Linked DNA regions of Struthio camelus. The protein of the gene in region 1 purifies or fractionates together with the protein of each later gene. This does not show direct contact. Links are inferred from orthologs where the notes say so. Each region holds a gene or a part of one and is shown in the gene's direction. Other genes may lie near its edges.

Region 1 (7,978 bases):
TGGGGTCCTCAGGCAGCCCTCCCCACCCCCCTCGGGGCACCCGTGGGTGCCACCACCCCCCTCGCTGCCCGGGTTTCCCCACAGGCGCCAGCCGGGCGGCAGCACCCTTGGGTGCTCTTTGCCCCCGCGCCGGCCTCAACTTCCCCTTCCCGCCCCGGGTGCCCCACGGTGGGGGGGGGTGGGGGGGGGTGCAGGAGGGGGCACCCACTGCCTGCTACTGCACCCCCCGACCCCTATCCTGCAGCAAAGCATGCTGGGAAACTCCCACCGATGCCCACCCTGGGGGGGCCCAGGTGTCCGGGTGGGGACAACCCCCTGCCCAGCACGGTGTTTTGGGGGGGGGCACCCATGGGTGCTGGTCCGGCCGCGCGGCGGCACCAAACTTGCCCTTATTTGGTCACTGCCGGCGCGGCCCCCCCCCCCCCGGCCCCACGATACTTCCTGCCCCACAGTGTCCCCCCCCCCAGCACCCCAGGGTGCACCCGGGGCACCCGCTGGGGCCTTGAGGGGGGGGCCCAGGCGTCCTGGCGGCCCCCCCACCCTGGGGTGTCACAGACTTCGGTGACTTGTTCCCCCCCCCCACCCCATCCTGCGCCAACCCGGATGTCCCAGCTCCTGCCCTCGGGAAGGGGGAGGGGCACAGCTCGGACGCCTGGGCCCTCTCCGCACCCGGAGGAAATGGGGGAGGGGGGGAAGGGGGCAGGGCCCGGACGCCTGGGTCCCCTGCTGATAAGGGGAAGGAGTGGGGAGGGGTGGGGTGGGGGGGAGTATGGGGGGTGCTTGTGGTTTGGGTGCCTGTCCTGGCGGGGGGGGGAAGCACCCAGGGGTGCCCCATGGCCAGCCTTGGGGTCGCCCCATGTCCCAGGGGTGCCCCACACCCAGGGGTGCCCCATGGCCAGCCTTGGGGTCGCCCCGTGTCCCAGGGGTGCTCCACACCCAGGGGTGCCCCATGGCCAGCCTTGGGGGTCCCCATGTCCCAGGGGTGCTGCATGGCCTGCTTTGGGGGTGCCCCACACCCAGGGGTGCCCCATGGCCAGCCTTGGGGGTCCTCATGTCCCTGGGGTGCCCCATGGCCTACTTTGGGGTGCCCCACACCCAGGGGTGCCCAATGGTCAGCCTTGGGGGTTGCCCCATGTCCCAGGGGTGCCCCATGGCCAGCCTTGGGGTCGCCCCGTGTCCCGGGGATGCTCCACACCCAGGGGTGCCCCATGCCTGGCCTTGGGGGTGCCCCTTGCCCAGCTTTAGGGGTGCTCCACACCCTGTAGGTGCCCCCTGCCCAGCCCTGGGGGTGCCCCACACCCACTAGTTGCCCCATGCCTGGCCTTGAGGATGCCCCACACCCCATGGGTACCCCTTGGCCGGCCCTGGGGACACCCCATGCCTCGTGGGTGCCCCCTGCCCAGCTTTAGGGGTGCCCCACACCCCGTGGGTGCCCCCTGCCTGGCCTGGGGGGTGCCCCATGCCCCGTGGGTGCCCCCTGCCCAGCCTTGTGGGTGCACCCTGCCCAGCCTGGGGGGACACTCGGCCCCCCGTGGGTGCCCCCTACCCAGCCTTGGGGACACCCCATGCCCCGTGGGTGCCCCCTGCCCAGCTTTAGGGGTGCCCCACACCCCGTGGGTGCCCCTTGCCCAGCCTTGAGGATGCCCCGTGCCCCATGGGTGCCCCCTGCCCGGCCTGGGGGACACCCCACACCTCATCGGTGCCCCTTGCCCAGCCTTGGGGATGCCCCATGGGTGCCCCTTGCCCAGCCTTGAGGATGCCCCGTGCCCCGTGGGTGCCCCCTGCCCATCCTGGGGGACACCCCGCACCCCATGGGTGCCCCCTGCCTGGCCTGGGGGGTGCCCCTTGCCCAGCCTTGAGGATGCCCCACGCCCCGTGGGTGCCCCCTGCCCAGCTTTAGAGGTGCCTCACGCCCCATAGGTGCCCTCTGCCTGGCCTGGGGGGTGCCCCACGCCCTGTGGGTGCCCCCTTGCCCAGCCTTGGGGACACCCCATGCCCCGTGGGTGCCCCCTGCCCAGCTTTAGGGGTGCCCCACACCCCGTGGGTGCCCCCTGCCCAGCCTTGGGGACACCCCACGCCCCGTGGGTGCCCCCTGCCCAGCTTTAGGGGTGCCCCACACCCCGTGGGTGCCCCTTGCCCAGCCTTGAGGATGCCCTGTGCCCTGTGGGTGTCCCCTGCCCGGCCTGGGGGACACCCCGCACCCCATGGGTGCCCCTTGCCCAGCCTTGGGGACACCCCATGCCCCATGGGTGCCCCTTGCCCAGCCTTGAGGATGCCCCATGCCCCGTGGGTGCCCCCTGCCCAGCTTTAGAGGTGCCTCACGCCCCATGGGTGCCCTCTGCCCGGCCTGGGGGGTGCCCCACGCCCCATGGGTGCCCCTTGCCCAGCCTTGGGGACACCCCACGCCCCGTGGGTGCCCCCTGCCCAGCTTTAGGGGTGCCCCACGCCCCGTGGGTGCCCCCTGCCCAGCCTTGGGGACACCCCACGCCCCCTGGGTGCCCCCTGCCCAGCTTTAGGGGTGCCCCACGCCCCGTGGGTGCCCCCTGCCCAGCCTTGGGGACACCCCACGCCCCCTGGGTGCCCCCTGCCCAGCTTTAGAGGTGCCTCACGCCCCATAGGTGCCCTCTGCCTGGCCTGGGGGGTGCCCCACGCCCCATGGGTGCCCCTTGCCCAGCCTTGGGGACACCCCATGCCCCGTGGGTGCCCCCTGCCCAGCTTTAGGGGTGCCCCACACCCCGTGGGTGCCCCCTGCCCAGCCTTGGGGACACCCCACGCCCCGTGGGTGCCCCCTGCCCAGCTTTAGGGGTGCCCCACGCCCCATGGGTGCCCCCCGCCCGGCCTGGGGGAGCACCCGGCGCCCCCCGGGCGGGTGCCGGGGCGCTGAGGCCGGCGGCCGCCCGCAGCGAGACGGTGGTGTGCAGCGCCCGGGCCACGGTGATGCTCTACGACGACGCCAACAAGAAGTGGGTGGCGGCGGGCGGCGGCCCCCAGGCCCCCAGCCGGGTGCAGCTGTACCGCAGCGCCGGCGGCGCCCCCCCCGCCTTCCGCGTCGTCGGCCGCAAGCTGCAGCCCGACCAGCAGGTGCCACCGCCGGGGGGGGGGGGCCGGGGGGACCGCCGGGGGGCTGGGGACATCGGGGGGGGGCTGGGGACACTGGGGGGACTGCCGGGGGCCTGGGGACACCAGGGGGCTGGGAACACTGGGGGGACTGCTGGGGGGCTGGGGACATCGGGGGGGGCTGGGGACACTGGGGGACCGCCGGGGGGCTGGGGACATCAGGGGGGCTGGGGACACCGGGGAGGCTGGGAACCCTGGGGGACTGTTAGGGGGCTGGGAACATCGGGGGGGGCTGGGAACACTGGGGGACTGCTGGGGGGCTGGGGACATCGGGGGGGCTGGGAACACTGGGGGACTGTTGGGGGCTGGGGACATCGTGGGGGGCTGGGAACCCTGGGACACTGGGGGGGCTGGGAACACTGGGGGACTGCCGGGGGCCTGGGGACACCAGGGGGGCTGGGAACACTGGGGGACTGTTGGGGGGCTGGGGACATCGGGGGGGCTGGGAACCCTGGGACACTGGGGGGGCTGGGAACACTGGGGGACTGCCGGGGGCCTGGGGACACCAGGGGGGCTGGGAACACTGGGGGACTGCTGGGGGGCTGGGGACACTGGGGGGGGGCTGGGAACACTGGGGGACTGCTAGGAGGCTGGGGACACTGGGGGACCGCCGGGGGGCTGGGGAGCGGGGGGACTGCCGGGGGGACCGCTGGGGGGCTGGGGATGCCATGGGGACCGCTGGGGAGGTGGGGACTGCTAGGGGGCTGGGGACCGGGGGGACCGCTGGGGCTGGGGACACCACAGGGACCATCGGGGGGTTTGGGGACACCCCCAGGGCCTGGGGATGCTGGGGGGACCACTGGGGCTGGGGACACTGGAGGGACCGCAAGGGGTGGCTGGGGACACCACGGGGACTGGGAGGGTGGGGACACCAGGGACACTGCCAGGGCTGGGGACACTGGGGGGAACACCAGGGCCAGGGTTGGCTGGGGACACCGGGGACACTGCTGGGACTGAGAGGGTGGGGACGCTCTGGACACCCCTAGGGCTTGGGGACACTGGGAGGACTGTTGGGACTGGGGGGCTGGGGACACTGTCTGTGGGGTCCCCAGCTTGGGGGTCAGAGCTTGGGGGGGGGGGGACCTGGGTATCGAGTGACCTCGGTGTCCCCCCCGAAGGTGGTCATCAACTGCGCCATCGCCAAGGGTCTCAAGTACAACCAGGCGACGCCGAGCTTCCACCAGTGGCGGGATGCCCGCCAGGTCTGGGGACTGAGCTTCGGGTCGCGCGAGGACGCCACCCTCTTCGCCACCGCCATGCTCCAGGCCCTGGAGGTGCTGGAGGCCGGTGAGCGGGGACGTGGGGACACCAGGGAGGTGGTGGCACGGGGTGACGTCCCCCAGGGTTGGGGACTGAGCTTCGGGTCGCGCAAGGACGCCACCCTCTTCGCCACCGCCATGCTCCAGGCCCTGGAGGTGCTGGAGGCCGGTGAGCGGGGACGTGGGGACACCAGGGAGGTGGTGGCACGGGGTGACGTCCCCCAGGGCTGGGCACTGAGCTTCGGGTCACGCAAGGACGCCACCCTCTTCGCCACCGCCATGCTCCAGGCCCTGGAGGTGCTGGAGGCCGGTGAGCGGGGACGTGGGGACACCAGGGAGGTGGTGGCACGGGGTGACGTCCCCCAGGGTTGGGCACTGAGCTTTGGGTCGCGCGAGGACGCCACCCTCCAGGCCCTGGAGGTGCTGGAGGCTGGTGAGCGGGGACGTGGGGACACCAGGGAGGTGGTGGCACGGGGTGACGTCCCCCAGGGCTGGGGACTGAGCTTCGGGTCGCGTGAGGACGCCACCCTCTTCGCCACCGCCATGCTCCAGGCCCTGGAGGTGCTGGAGGCCGGTGAGCGGGGACGTGGGGACACCAGGGAGGTGGTGGCACGGGGTGACGTCCCCCAGGGCTGGGGACTGAGCTTCGGGTCGCGCGAGGACGCCACCCTCTTCGCCACCGCCATGCTCCAGGCCCTGGAGGTGCTGGAGGCCGGTGAGCGGGGATGTGGGGACACCAGGGAGGTGGTGGCACGGGGTGACGTCCCCCAGGGCTGGGGACTGAGCTTCGGGTCGCGCGAGGACGCCACCCTCTTCGCCACCGCCATGCTCCAGGCCCTGGAGGTGCTGGAGGCCGGTGAGCGGGGACGTGGGGACACCAGGGAGGTGACACCGTGGGGTGGCATCCCTCAGGTTGGGGGGTGGGGGGGGTCTCAGCTTTGGGTTGTGCGAGGACACCAGGCTCCTCGCTGCCACCCTGGAGGTGGGTGAGCACGGATGAGGTGACACCCGGGGGTGGCCCACTGTGACGTCCCCCCAGCCTGGGGACGTCCCCGGGTGCTGCTCTGAGCTCTCGTCCCCCCCCGCCAGCCCCCGCTCAGCCCTGGCCCGTCCCCAACGGCCCGTCGCTGGAGGAGCCGGAGCAGCAGCGGAGGTAGGAGCCCCCCAAGGGCACCCTGGGGTGCTCATTCCCCCCCCCGAGACCCCCTGCATGTGGGGGGGGCTGACTTGGGGGACACAGTGGCTGTGGGGGGGTCTGTGGGTGCTGACTTGGGGGTCAACATGCCCTGGAGGGGCGCGGGTGCTGGCCTGGGGGTCAGGGTGCCCCGGGGGGATCTGTGGGTGCTGAGTTGGGGGTCAGGGTGCCCCTGGGGGACCACAGGTGCTGGCCTGGGGGTCAGGGTGCCCCAGGGGGGTGCATGGGTGCTGACTTGGGGGTCAGGGTGCCCCGGGGGGGGCCACAGGTGCTGAGTTGGGGGTCAGGGCACCCCCGGAGGGGTCCGTGGGTGCTGAGTTGGGGGTCAGGGCATCCCCGGGGGGGCCACGGGTGCTGACTTGGGGGTCAGGGCACCCCAGGGGGGGCGCGGGTGCTGACTTCGGGGTCAGGGTACTCCAGGGGGGTCTGTGGGTGCTGAGTTGGGGGTCAGGGTGCCCTGGGGGGGCCGCGGGTGCCGACTTGGGAGTCAGGGTGCCCCAGGGACATCCATGGGTGCTGACTTGGGGGTCAGGGCACCCCGGGGGGGGGCACGGGTGCTGACCCCTCTCCCCGCAGGCCGGCGCCGGAGGAGCTGGAGCGGCGCGTGGCCGGCGCAGGTGGGTGCCGGGGAGGGGGGTGACATGAGCCCACCCCCCCACCCAAAAAACCCCCCACGGGGAGAGGGGGGCCAGCGTGGGTGCCCCCCCATGAGCCACTCTCCCCCCACAGGTGCCCCGGCCCTGCCTGCGGGGGGGCCTCCGCCGCCCCCCGGCCCCCCACCACCCCCGGGACCCCCGGGGCCCCCCCCGCCTCCCGGACCCCCCCCAGCTGCCGCCGGGGTCCCGCCGGCACCACCCCTGCCCGGGCCCGCGGGTGCCCCCGGGGGGGCGTCCGGGGGGGGCTCCGGCTTCGCCGCCGCCATCGCGGGGGCCAAACTCAGGAAAGTCGGCAAGGTACCGGGGGGGGGGGGGGGAATTACCCCTGGGGGGGCAAAATGGGGGGGGAGCTCTGCGGTGGGGGGTAATACCGTTTTGGGGGCAGTTCCCACGGGGGGGGGCAGCCCCTGGGGGGTAATACCTGTTTTGGGGGTAGTTCCCATGGGGGGGGGCAGCCCTGCAGGGGGATAATACCCATTTTGGGGGCAGTTCCCACGGGGGGGGCAGCCCTGCAGGGGGGTAATACCCATTTTGGGGGCAGTTCCCACGGGGGGGGCAGCCCCAGGAGGGTAATACCTGTTTTGGGGACAGTTCCCATGGGGGGGGCAGCCCCTGGGGGGTAATACCTGGTTTGGGGGCAGTTCCTATGGGGGGGAGGAGGGGCAGCCCTGCAGGGGGGTAATACCCATTTTGGGGGCAATTCCCAGGGATGATTGCAGCCCCGGGAGGGGGAACAAATCCGGGGGGGGGGTCGCGCTCACCCCGTTTCCCCCCAGCAGGATGAGGCGCCCGGCCCGGCGGTGGCGGCAGCAGCACCCAAGGGCGATGGCACCCGCGGGGGAGGCGGGGGGGGCCTCATGGAGGAGATGAGCGCCATGCTGGCCCGACGGTGAGGGGGTGCCGCATTGTGGGGGGGGCGGTGACGCAGGTTTGGGGGGGGGGACACTGCGCTGACCTCCCCCCCCCCCCCAGGAGAAAGGCCACGCTGCAGGGGGACAAGCCAGCGCCAAAGAGGGACGAGGACGCCGGCAGCGTGAGTGCCCCCCCTTGCCGAAATACTGCTTTGGGGGTGCCCCCCCATCCCTGCGCTGCCCCATTGCCCCCCCCCCCCCCCCCGCTGAGTATTGCTCCTCTCCTGGGGGCTCCCTGTTGCCCCCATCTGGTATTTTGGGGGGGGGGGGGGGATGGCACCTCTCTCTCTCTCTCTCCCAGTTAATCCCATTGTCCCCAGCTGGTGCGGATCCCCTTGTCCCCCCCCTCCAACCTGGCTACCCGCCCCCCCCCCCCCGGTAAATACCCCGCCGTGACCCCTTTTTTTGCCCCTCCCCACAGGACGACGCGGAGCCAGCGAGCACTAGGACCGCGGGGCAGTCCGCGGGTGAGTGCGGAGGAACTACGACTCCCAGCATGCCCTGCCGCCGCGGCGCGGCGCAGAGCCTGCTGGGAGCTGTAGTCCCGAGAGAGGAACGGGTTTTTTTTGGGGGGGGGGAGGGTGGTGGGTGGCTGCGCCCCTGAAGGGGGGGCTCTGCCTCCCCCTCACCCCCTGCTCTCTCACTGCAGAGCCCATCCGGAGGCCGTGGGAGAAGGCCAGCACCACGCTGCCCCGGTGGGTGCTGGGGGCAAAGGGGTGCCAGGGGGGATTTGGGGGACCCGGGGTGTAGGGAAGGGAGTTAGGGGGTGCTGGGGGGATTGAGGGTGGCCAGGGAGGGGGGATTGGGGGTGCCCAGGGTGTAGGGAGGGGGGTGTTGGGG
Region 2 (7,274 bases), on another chromosome or scaffold:
CGTCCGGGCACCCCACAGGGACCCAGGCGTCCGGGCGCTGCTGCTCACTGGTGCTGGTTGGGCTCCGAGTGACCCCGGGGGGTCCCCGAGGGCCTTTTATGCCCATCCCCTGCCCCCGCCTCCCCCAGGGACCATCTGCAAACGCGGGACCCAGGCGTCCAGGGCCCAGGCGTCCGGGTGGGCTCGCCCCTGCCCCACCCGCCAGGCCTGACTGCCCCCCCGGGGGCCCAGGCGTCCGGGGACCCCCGCTCTGCCCCGCTGCCCCCCCCAGGGGGTTCAGGTGTCCGGGGGGGCCCAGCTGCCCCCCTCCCCCACCAGGCTTCGCAGCCCCCAGGGGGCCCAGGCGTCCGGGCGCTGGTGGCCCTGGTGGCACTTTGCGATGGTCCCTGCCCCCCCCGGGCTATTTTTAGCCCCCCCCAAAGGTCGGAGCTCGAGGAAAGGACACGGTAACTCGAGACGCCCGGACGCCTGGGCCCCCGTGGGCTGGGAGCAGCCAGATGCCTGGGTCCCCCCGAGGCTGCCCGGACGCCTGGGTCCCTGGAGGATGTGGGGGGGGGAGCACCCGGATGCCTGGGTCCCCCTTGGGCTGGGGGCACCCGGACACCTGGGTCCCCCCGGGACTGGGGGTACCCGGACGCCTGGGTCCCCTGGAGTTGAGGCTGCCCGGACGCCTGGGTCCCTGGGCGACTCCTGGGCCCCACCGCACGGGGGCGCCCGGACACCTGGGTCCCTGGAGGATGGGGGGGGGGGAGCACCCGGACGCCTGGGTCCCTGGAGGATGGGGGGGGGGGGAGCCCCCGGACGCCTGGGTCCCTGGGGGGGGGAGGGGGACGCCTGGCGGCTGTGCTGGGAATGGCACCGGTCCTATGGGATCCATAGGGGATGGGGGGAGGGGAGGGGCCCTGCGGGGTCTATAGGGGCCGGGGCCCTATAGGGGAAACGGGAGGGGGGAGATGGGCCCCGTGGGGCCTATAGGGGACGTTGGGGGGGGGTCGGGCCCTATGGAGCCCATAGGGCAGGGGGAGGGGGAGGGGCCCCGGCTCCGCTCGCTGCTAAAAACCCACTTCCCGGGGAAGTTCCCACAGCGGGGCGGGGGCGGGGCGGGCCCGGACGCCTGGGCCCCGGGGGGGGCAGGGCCCCTGGACGCCTGGGCCCCCGGACGCCTGGGCCCCGGGGGGGGCCCCGGATGTCTGGGCCCCGGGGGGGGGCAGAGGGGCCCCCGGACGCCTGGGTCCCTCGGCCAGGACGAGCTGGTTTCCTGCCCCCCCCCCATTTCCCATGATGCCCCGGGTTGGCGTGAGCGGGGGAGGGGCCGCGGTGGCGACACTGCTGGGGGAAGTTCGCAGCGGGGGGGAGGGGCAGGCGCCCGGCTGCCTCCGACCCCCTGGTCCCCCGGACGCCTGGGTCCCCAGGCAGGCGCGGGGTCCAGGGCCCGCTGCCCGGACGCCTGGGTCCCCCGGACGCCGCCTGCCCCCAGCGCCGGCGCCTCGGCCCCCTCCCCCGCCCGGGACAGGAAGTGAAACCGCCGCCCCTCCCCCCCTCCCCCCCCCGGAAAGTCCCCGCCCGGGGCTGACTCAAAGCAGCCGGGAGATATGGGCCGATGCATGTGCGATCGCACACGCGTGTGCACGGGGCGGGGAGCGCGGCGGGGGGGCATCGCACGGGGGGGGGCGTTGCACCAGGAGTTGGTTTGCTCTGGGGTTGCGCTGTGCTGGGGGGCTCATGGCGCGAGGGGTGGGTTGCACCAGGGGTTGCAGTGCACGAGGGGTGCGTTGCACCGGGAGTTGGGTGCGTTGCACCAGGGGTTGCAGTGCACGAGGGGTGCGTTGCACCGGGAGTTGGGTGCGTTGCACCAGGGGTTGCATTGCACGAGGGGTGCGTTGCACCGGGAGTTGGGTGCGTTGCACCAGGGGTTGCATTGCACGAGGGGTGCGTTGCACCGGGAGTTGGGTGTGTTGCACCAGGGGTTGCAGTGCACGAGGGGTGCGTTGCACCGGGAATTGGGTGCGTTGCACCAGGGGTTGCATTGCACGAGGGGTGTGTTGCACCGGGAGTTGGGTGCGTTGCACCAGGGGTTGCAGTGCACGAGGGGTGCGTTGCACCGGGAATTGGGTGCGTTGCACCAGGGGTTGCAGTGCACGAGGGGTGCGTTGCACCGGGAGTTGGGTGCGTTGCACCAGGGGTTGCAGTGCACGAGGGGTGCGTTGCACCGGGAGTTGGGTGCGTTGCACCAGGGGTTGCACTGCACGAGGGGTGCGTTGCACCGGGAGTTGGGTGCGTTGCACCAGGGGTTGCACTGCACGAGGGGTGCGTTGCACCGGGAGTTGGGTGCGTTGCACCAGGGGTTGCATTGCACGAGGGGTGCGTTGCACCGGGAGTTGGGTGCGTTGCACCAGGGGTTGCAGTGCACGAGGGGTGTGTTGCACCGGGAGTTGGGTGCATTGCACCAGGGGTTGCAGTGCACGAGGGGTGCGTTGCACCGGGAGTTGGGTGCGTTGCACCAGGGGTTGCAGTGCACGAGGGGTGCGTTGCACCGGGAGTTGGGTGCGTTGCACCAGGGGTTGCATTGCACTGGGGCTGCACCACACGGGGGGCTGCATTGCACCGGGGGGGTGTCGCACAGGGGCCGAGGCGCCGCACGGCCTGTGCGTTGCTCCATGCTGGCACGAGGACACGCATGTCCGGGGGGCTGCGTGTGACACGGACACGGGGGTCCCGGCGCAGGGAGCTGGGGAGGGGGCCGCGAAGAGGTGCAACGCGCCACCGAGGGCGACGCCGGGGGGGCCGTGGCGGCAGGAAACGTGGGGTGTCACCCGCAGGGAGGGGCCGTGCAAAGGGGGGTGCGGAGGCCGGGGAGGGGTGCAAGGGGGGGGGCGACGTGCAGGGGCGTGCAAGGCGCGGTGATGCCCGCGGGTTGCACGGCACGAGGAGGGTGCAACGCACCCGGCTGCAAGGCCGGGGGGTGCGATGCACCCGCGGGTGCACACAGCACAAGGGTGCCGCACCCGGAGGGGCTGCTGGGGGGGGGGGGGGCGTGCGCACGTGTGCGTGCAACGCTCGAGGGGGGCGGGGGGGCGGGAGGGAGCTGCAGTGCCCAGATGTTGCGTGTGCGACGCCGGAGGGATGCAGTGCACGGGGATGCACTGACTGGTTTGCATGTGCAATCCCCGGGGGGGGGTGGGGGGTGCACATCTGTGCGTGCGTGTGCGCTTGTGTGTGCGTGTGCGTGTGTGCGCGTGTGTGTGTGCGCGTGTGTGTGTGCGCGTGTGTGTGCGCGTGTGTGTGTGTGCGTGTGTGTGTGTGCGTGTGTGTGTGTGTGTGCGCAGTGTCTGCACACGTGTGTGCACGTGCACGGTGCCCCGGGGATGCAACACAGGTGGATGCAACACCCGGGCTGTGCGTGTGCAGTGCACATGGATGCAATGCTGGGGGGGGCAGCGCTAGCAGGTGCAGTGCTGGGTGTGCAGTGCCCGGGGGGGGGGTGCAGCACCCGCTGTGCAGTGCCTGCGGTGCAGTGCCCATTATGCAGTGCCGGGGGGGGGGTGCAGTGTCGGGGGGGGGCAGTGTCTGAGGTGCAGCACCCGTCATACAGCGCCCCTTGTGCAGTGCCCGGGGGGGGGGGGGTGCAGTGCCCGGGGGGGGGGGTTGCAGTGCTGGGGGGGTGGGTGCAGTGCTGGGGGGGGGGGGTGTGCAGTGCCCGGGGGGGGGGGGGCAGCGCCGGGGGGGGGGGGAGTGCAGTGCCCGGGGGGGGGGGGAGTGCAGTGCCCCGGGGGGGGTTGCAGTGCGGGGGGGGGGGGGTTTGCAGTGCCGGGGGGGTTGCAGTGCCCGGGGGGGGCAGTGCTGGGGGGGGGGCAGCGCCTGTCGCCCAGCGCCCGCCGCTGCCCGGGGTCGCTCTGCCGCCGCCGCCGCCGCCGCCGCCGGGCGGGCTGGGGGGGGCGTGTCCCGCGGCGGCCCCGCCCCCTGCGGGCGAGCCCCGCCCCCTGCGGGCGAGCCCCGCCCCGCGGAAGCCCCGCCCCCGCCGCGCGGGGCTATGAAAGGCGGCGCGCGGCCCCGCCGCGGGGCCCCGTCTCGCGCCCGCCGCCCGCTCCGCGCACGCGCCGCCGCCGCCGCCGCCGGCCCCGCCCCCGCCGGCCCCGCCCCGCCCGCCCGGCCCGCGCCGCCGCCGCCGCCGCCGCCGCCATGAGCGGGTGGGCGCCCTACGTGGAGAGCCTCATGGCGGACGGCACCTGCCAGGACGCCGCCATCGTCGGCTACAAGGACACGCCGGCCGTCTGGGCCGCCACCCCCGGCAAGACCTTCGCCAACATCACGGTGGGGCCCGGGCGGCGGCGCCGCGGGGGGGCGGCGGCCGTTGGGGGCGATTCCGCGGCGGTCCCGGGGCGCGGGGTGTCCCCGGGCCCCCCCGCCGGCCCAGGCGTCCGGCCCCCCCCCCCGCCCGCCCGCGCCGCGGCCCCCCCGGGCCGGGGGTCGGGCCCGGCCCCTCCCCCCGCCGGCAGGAAGTGACCGGGGGGAGGGGGGGCCGGATCCTGCCCATCCCCCCCATCCCATCCCCTTCCCCCCCCCGGCCCCAATCGGGACAAAAAAGGGAGAAAAATGCGTCCGGGAGCGGCCCCGGCCGCTGCCAGCGTGGCCCGGCCCCCCCCGCCGCCGGGGAGGGGACCCAGGCGGCCGGGCCGCGCGGGGGGGCCCAGGCGCCCGGGCCGCCCCCCTTCCCCGCTCCAGCGGGGGGCCCGGGCGCCCTTTACCCCCTCCCCTTCCCCAGCCACCCCCGGTTTGGGGAAGGAGCCCCGGCGTCCGGGCTGCGGCGAGCACGTGGCGGAGGGGCTGCGGGGGGGCCCGGACGCCTGGGCCCTCTGCCCGCCCGCCGAGGGGTCGCCGGTGTCTCCCCCCTCCCCCCGCTGAGAAAAATGCGCGGAATGTGGCAACTTCCCCCCGGCGGGGGAGGGGCGGCCGGGGCTTCCTGTGGGGGAGGGGAGGGGGCGCCTGGGCCCCCCGGGGCGGCGGGCAGAGGGGTGCCCGGGCGCCTGGGCCCCTGGCGGAGGCTGAGGGAGCTCCCGGACGCCTGGGCCCCCGGCAGGGCGTTGGGTGGGGTCCGGGACGCCTGGGCCGGCGCGGCTGGGGATGCCCCGGACGCCTGGGTCCTGCCTGTGGAGGGTGCCGGGGCGGGCGCCCGGACGCCTGGGTCCCTGGAGGAGCTGGTGCTGGTCTGGGCTCTTGGGCGCCCCGGACGCCTGGGTCCCCGGGGGGGTGTCAGGGCGGCTCACGGTGCTGCCCCGGACGCCTGGGTCCCGAGGAGGGGTGTCAGGGCGGCTCACGGTGCTGCCCCGGACGCCTGGGTCCCGAGGAGGGGTGTCAGGGCGGGCTCACGGTGCTGCCCCGGACGCCTGGGTCCCCGGGGGGGTGTCAGGGCGGCTCACGGTGCTGCCCCGGACGCCTGGGTCCCGAGGAGGGGTGTCAGGGCGGGCTCACGGTGCTGCCCCGGACGCCTGGGTCCCGAGGAGGGGTGTCAGGGTGGCTCACGGTGCTGCCCCGGACGCCTGGGTCCCCGGGGGGGTGTCAGGGCGGGCTCACGGTGCTGCCCCGGACACCTGGGTCCCGAGGAGGGGTGTCAGGGCGGGCTCATGGTGCTGCCCCGGACGCCTGGGTCCCCAGAGGGGTGTCAGGGCAGGCTCACGGTGCTGCCCCGGACGCCTGGGTCCCGAGGAGGGGTGTCAGGGCGGGCTCACGGTGCTGCCCCGGACGCCTGGGTCCCCGGGGGGGTGTCAGGGCGGCTCACGGTGCTGCCCCGGACGCCTGGGTCCCGAGGAGGGGTGTCAGGGCGGGCTCACGGTGCTGCCCCGGACGCCTGGGTCCTGAGGAGGGGTGTCAGGGTGGCTCACGGTGCTGCCCCGGACGCCTGGGTCCCCGGGGGGGTGTCAGGGCGGCTCACGGTGCTGCCCCGGACGCCTGGGTCCCGAGGAGGGGTGTCAGGGTGGCTCACGGTGCTGCCCCGGACGCCTGGGTCCCGAGGAGGGGTGTCAGGGCAGGCTCATGGTGCTGCCCCGGACGCCTGGGTCCCAAGGAGGGGTGTCAGGGCGGCTCACGGTGCTGCCCCGGACGCCTGGGTCCCCGGGGGGGTGTCAGGGCGGGCTCATGGTGCTGCCCCGGACGCCTGGGTCCCCAGAGGGGTGTCAGGGCGGGCTCACGGTGCTGCCCCGGACGCCTGGGTCCCCGGGGGGGTGTCAGGGCGGCTCACGGTGCTGCCCCGGACGCCTGGGTCCCCGGGGGGGTGTCAGGGCGGGCCACGCCCCCCCGCCCGGACACCTGGGTCCCTGACGGCGGGGGTCGTGGCCCGGCAGGCGGCGGAGGTGAACGCGCTGGTGGGGAAGGACCGGAGCAGCCTGCTGGTGAACGGGCTGACGCTGGGCGGGCAGAAGTGCTCCGTCATCCGCGACTCGCTGCTGGTGGAGGGCGAGCACAGCATGGACCTGCGCACCAAGAGCGCCGCCGGCGCCCCCACCTTCAACATCACCGCCACCGTCACCAACAAGAGTGAGTGTCCGCCCGGGCCCCTCGCGTCCCCCCCGTGTGCGCTCTGCGCCCGCCCCGGGCACCTGGGCCCCTCGTGTCACCCCCACGTCCCCCCTGTGTGCGCTCTGCGCCCGCCCCGGGCACCTGGGCCCCTCGTGCCACCCCCACGTCCCCCCTGTGTGCGCTCTGCGCCCACCCTGGACACCTGGGCCCCTCACGCCAACCCCGTGTCCGCTCTGCACCCGCCCCGGGCACCTGGGCCCCTCGCGCCGCCCCCGTGTCCGCTCTGCGCCCACCCTGGACACCTGGGCCCCTCACGCCGCCCCCGTGTGCGCTCTGCACCCGCCCCGGGCACCTGGGCCCCTCACGCCAACCCCACGTTACCTCCGCATCTGCTCCACACCATGCCCGAACGCTTGGGCCCCTCTGTGCTGCCCCTGGGTCACCCCCGCACCTGCCCCGGACGCCTGGGTCCCTCCATCCTCCCTGCTGGGTGCTGGATCCCCTCCCCTCTGCTCGCTCCTCCTGGACGCCTGGGTCCCTTTCCCATCCCCTCCCCCCTCCCAGCTCCCTGTTGCTCTGTCCCCGGATGCCTGGGTCCCTGGGTCGCTTCCCCATCCCCCCCGGATGCCTGGGCCCCTCTGCCCCCCCAGCTGTTGTGAGAAGGGGCAGCTGTTCCCCTCGCGGAGCAGCTGCACCCGGACGCCTGGGCCCCCTTGCGGGGGGGGGGATGTGGGAGGGTTCCCGGTGGGCCGGGCCCCCCC

The links.
Region 2: the proteins of vasodilator-stimulated phosphoprotein-like (region 1) and PFN1 purify together in Homo sapiens (affinity purification with western blotting; 3 studies listed by BioGRID and IntAct, with this or other methods). This does not show direct contact. The link is inferred for Struthio camelus from reciprocal best matches to the Homo sapiens genes VASP and PFN1.

The regions. Positions count from the first base shown.
Region 1 is NC_090957.1:1,486,698-1,494,675, forward strand, and holds the start of vasodilator-stimulated phosphoprotein-like, read left to right. Parts: upstream 1-4,809; 5' UTR 4,810-4,865; coding exon of another isoform or gene 4,866-4,894; 5' UTR 4,895-4,919; coding exon 4,920-5,232; intron 5,233-5,465; coding exon 5,466-5,529; intron 5,530-6,147; coding exon 6,148-6,188; intron 6,189-6,300; coding exon 6,301-6,524; intron 6,525-7,003; coding exon 7,004-7,116; intron 7,117-7,199; coding exon 7,200-7,260; intron 7,261-7,559; coding exon 7,560-7,605; intron 7,606-7,787; coding exon 7,788-7,833; intron 7,834-7,978. Other genes in the region: homer protein homolog 3-like, read left to right, coding at 2,904-3,081, 4,236-4,809, 4,866-4,894. UniProt on the Homo sapiens protein: Ena/VASP proteins are actin-associated proteins involved in a range of processes dependent on cytoskeleton remodeling and cell polarity such as axon guidance, lamellipodial and filopodial dynamics, platelet activation and cell migration.
Region 2 is NW_027182728.1:91,475-98,748, forward strand, and holds the start of PFN1 (profilin-1), read left to right. Parts: upstream 1-4,065; 5' UTR 4,066-4,179; coding exon 4,180-4,311; intron 4,312-6,338; coding exon 6,339-6,531; intron 6,532-7,274. Other genes in the region: ENO3 (beta-enolase), read right to left, coding at 49-106. UniProt on the Homo sapiens protein: Binds to actin and affects the structure of the cytoskeleton. At high concentrations, profilin prevents the polymerization of actin, whereas it enhances it at low concentrations. By binding to PIP2, it inhibits the formation of IP3 and DG.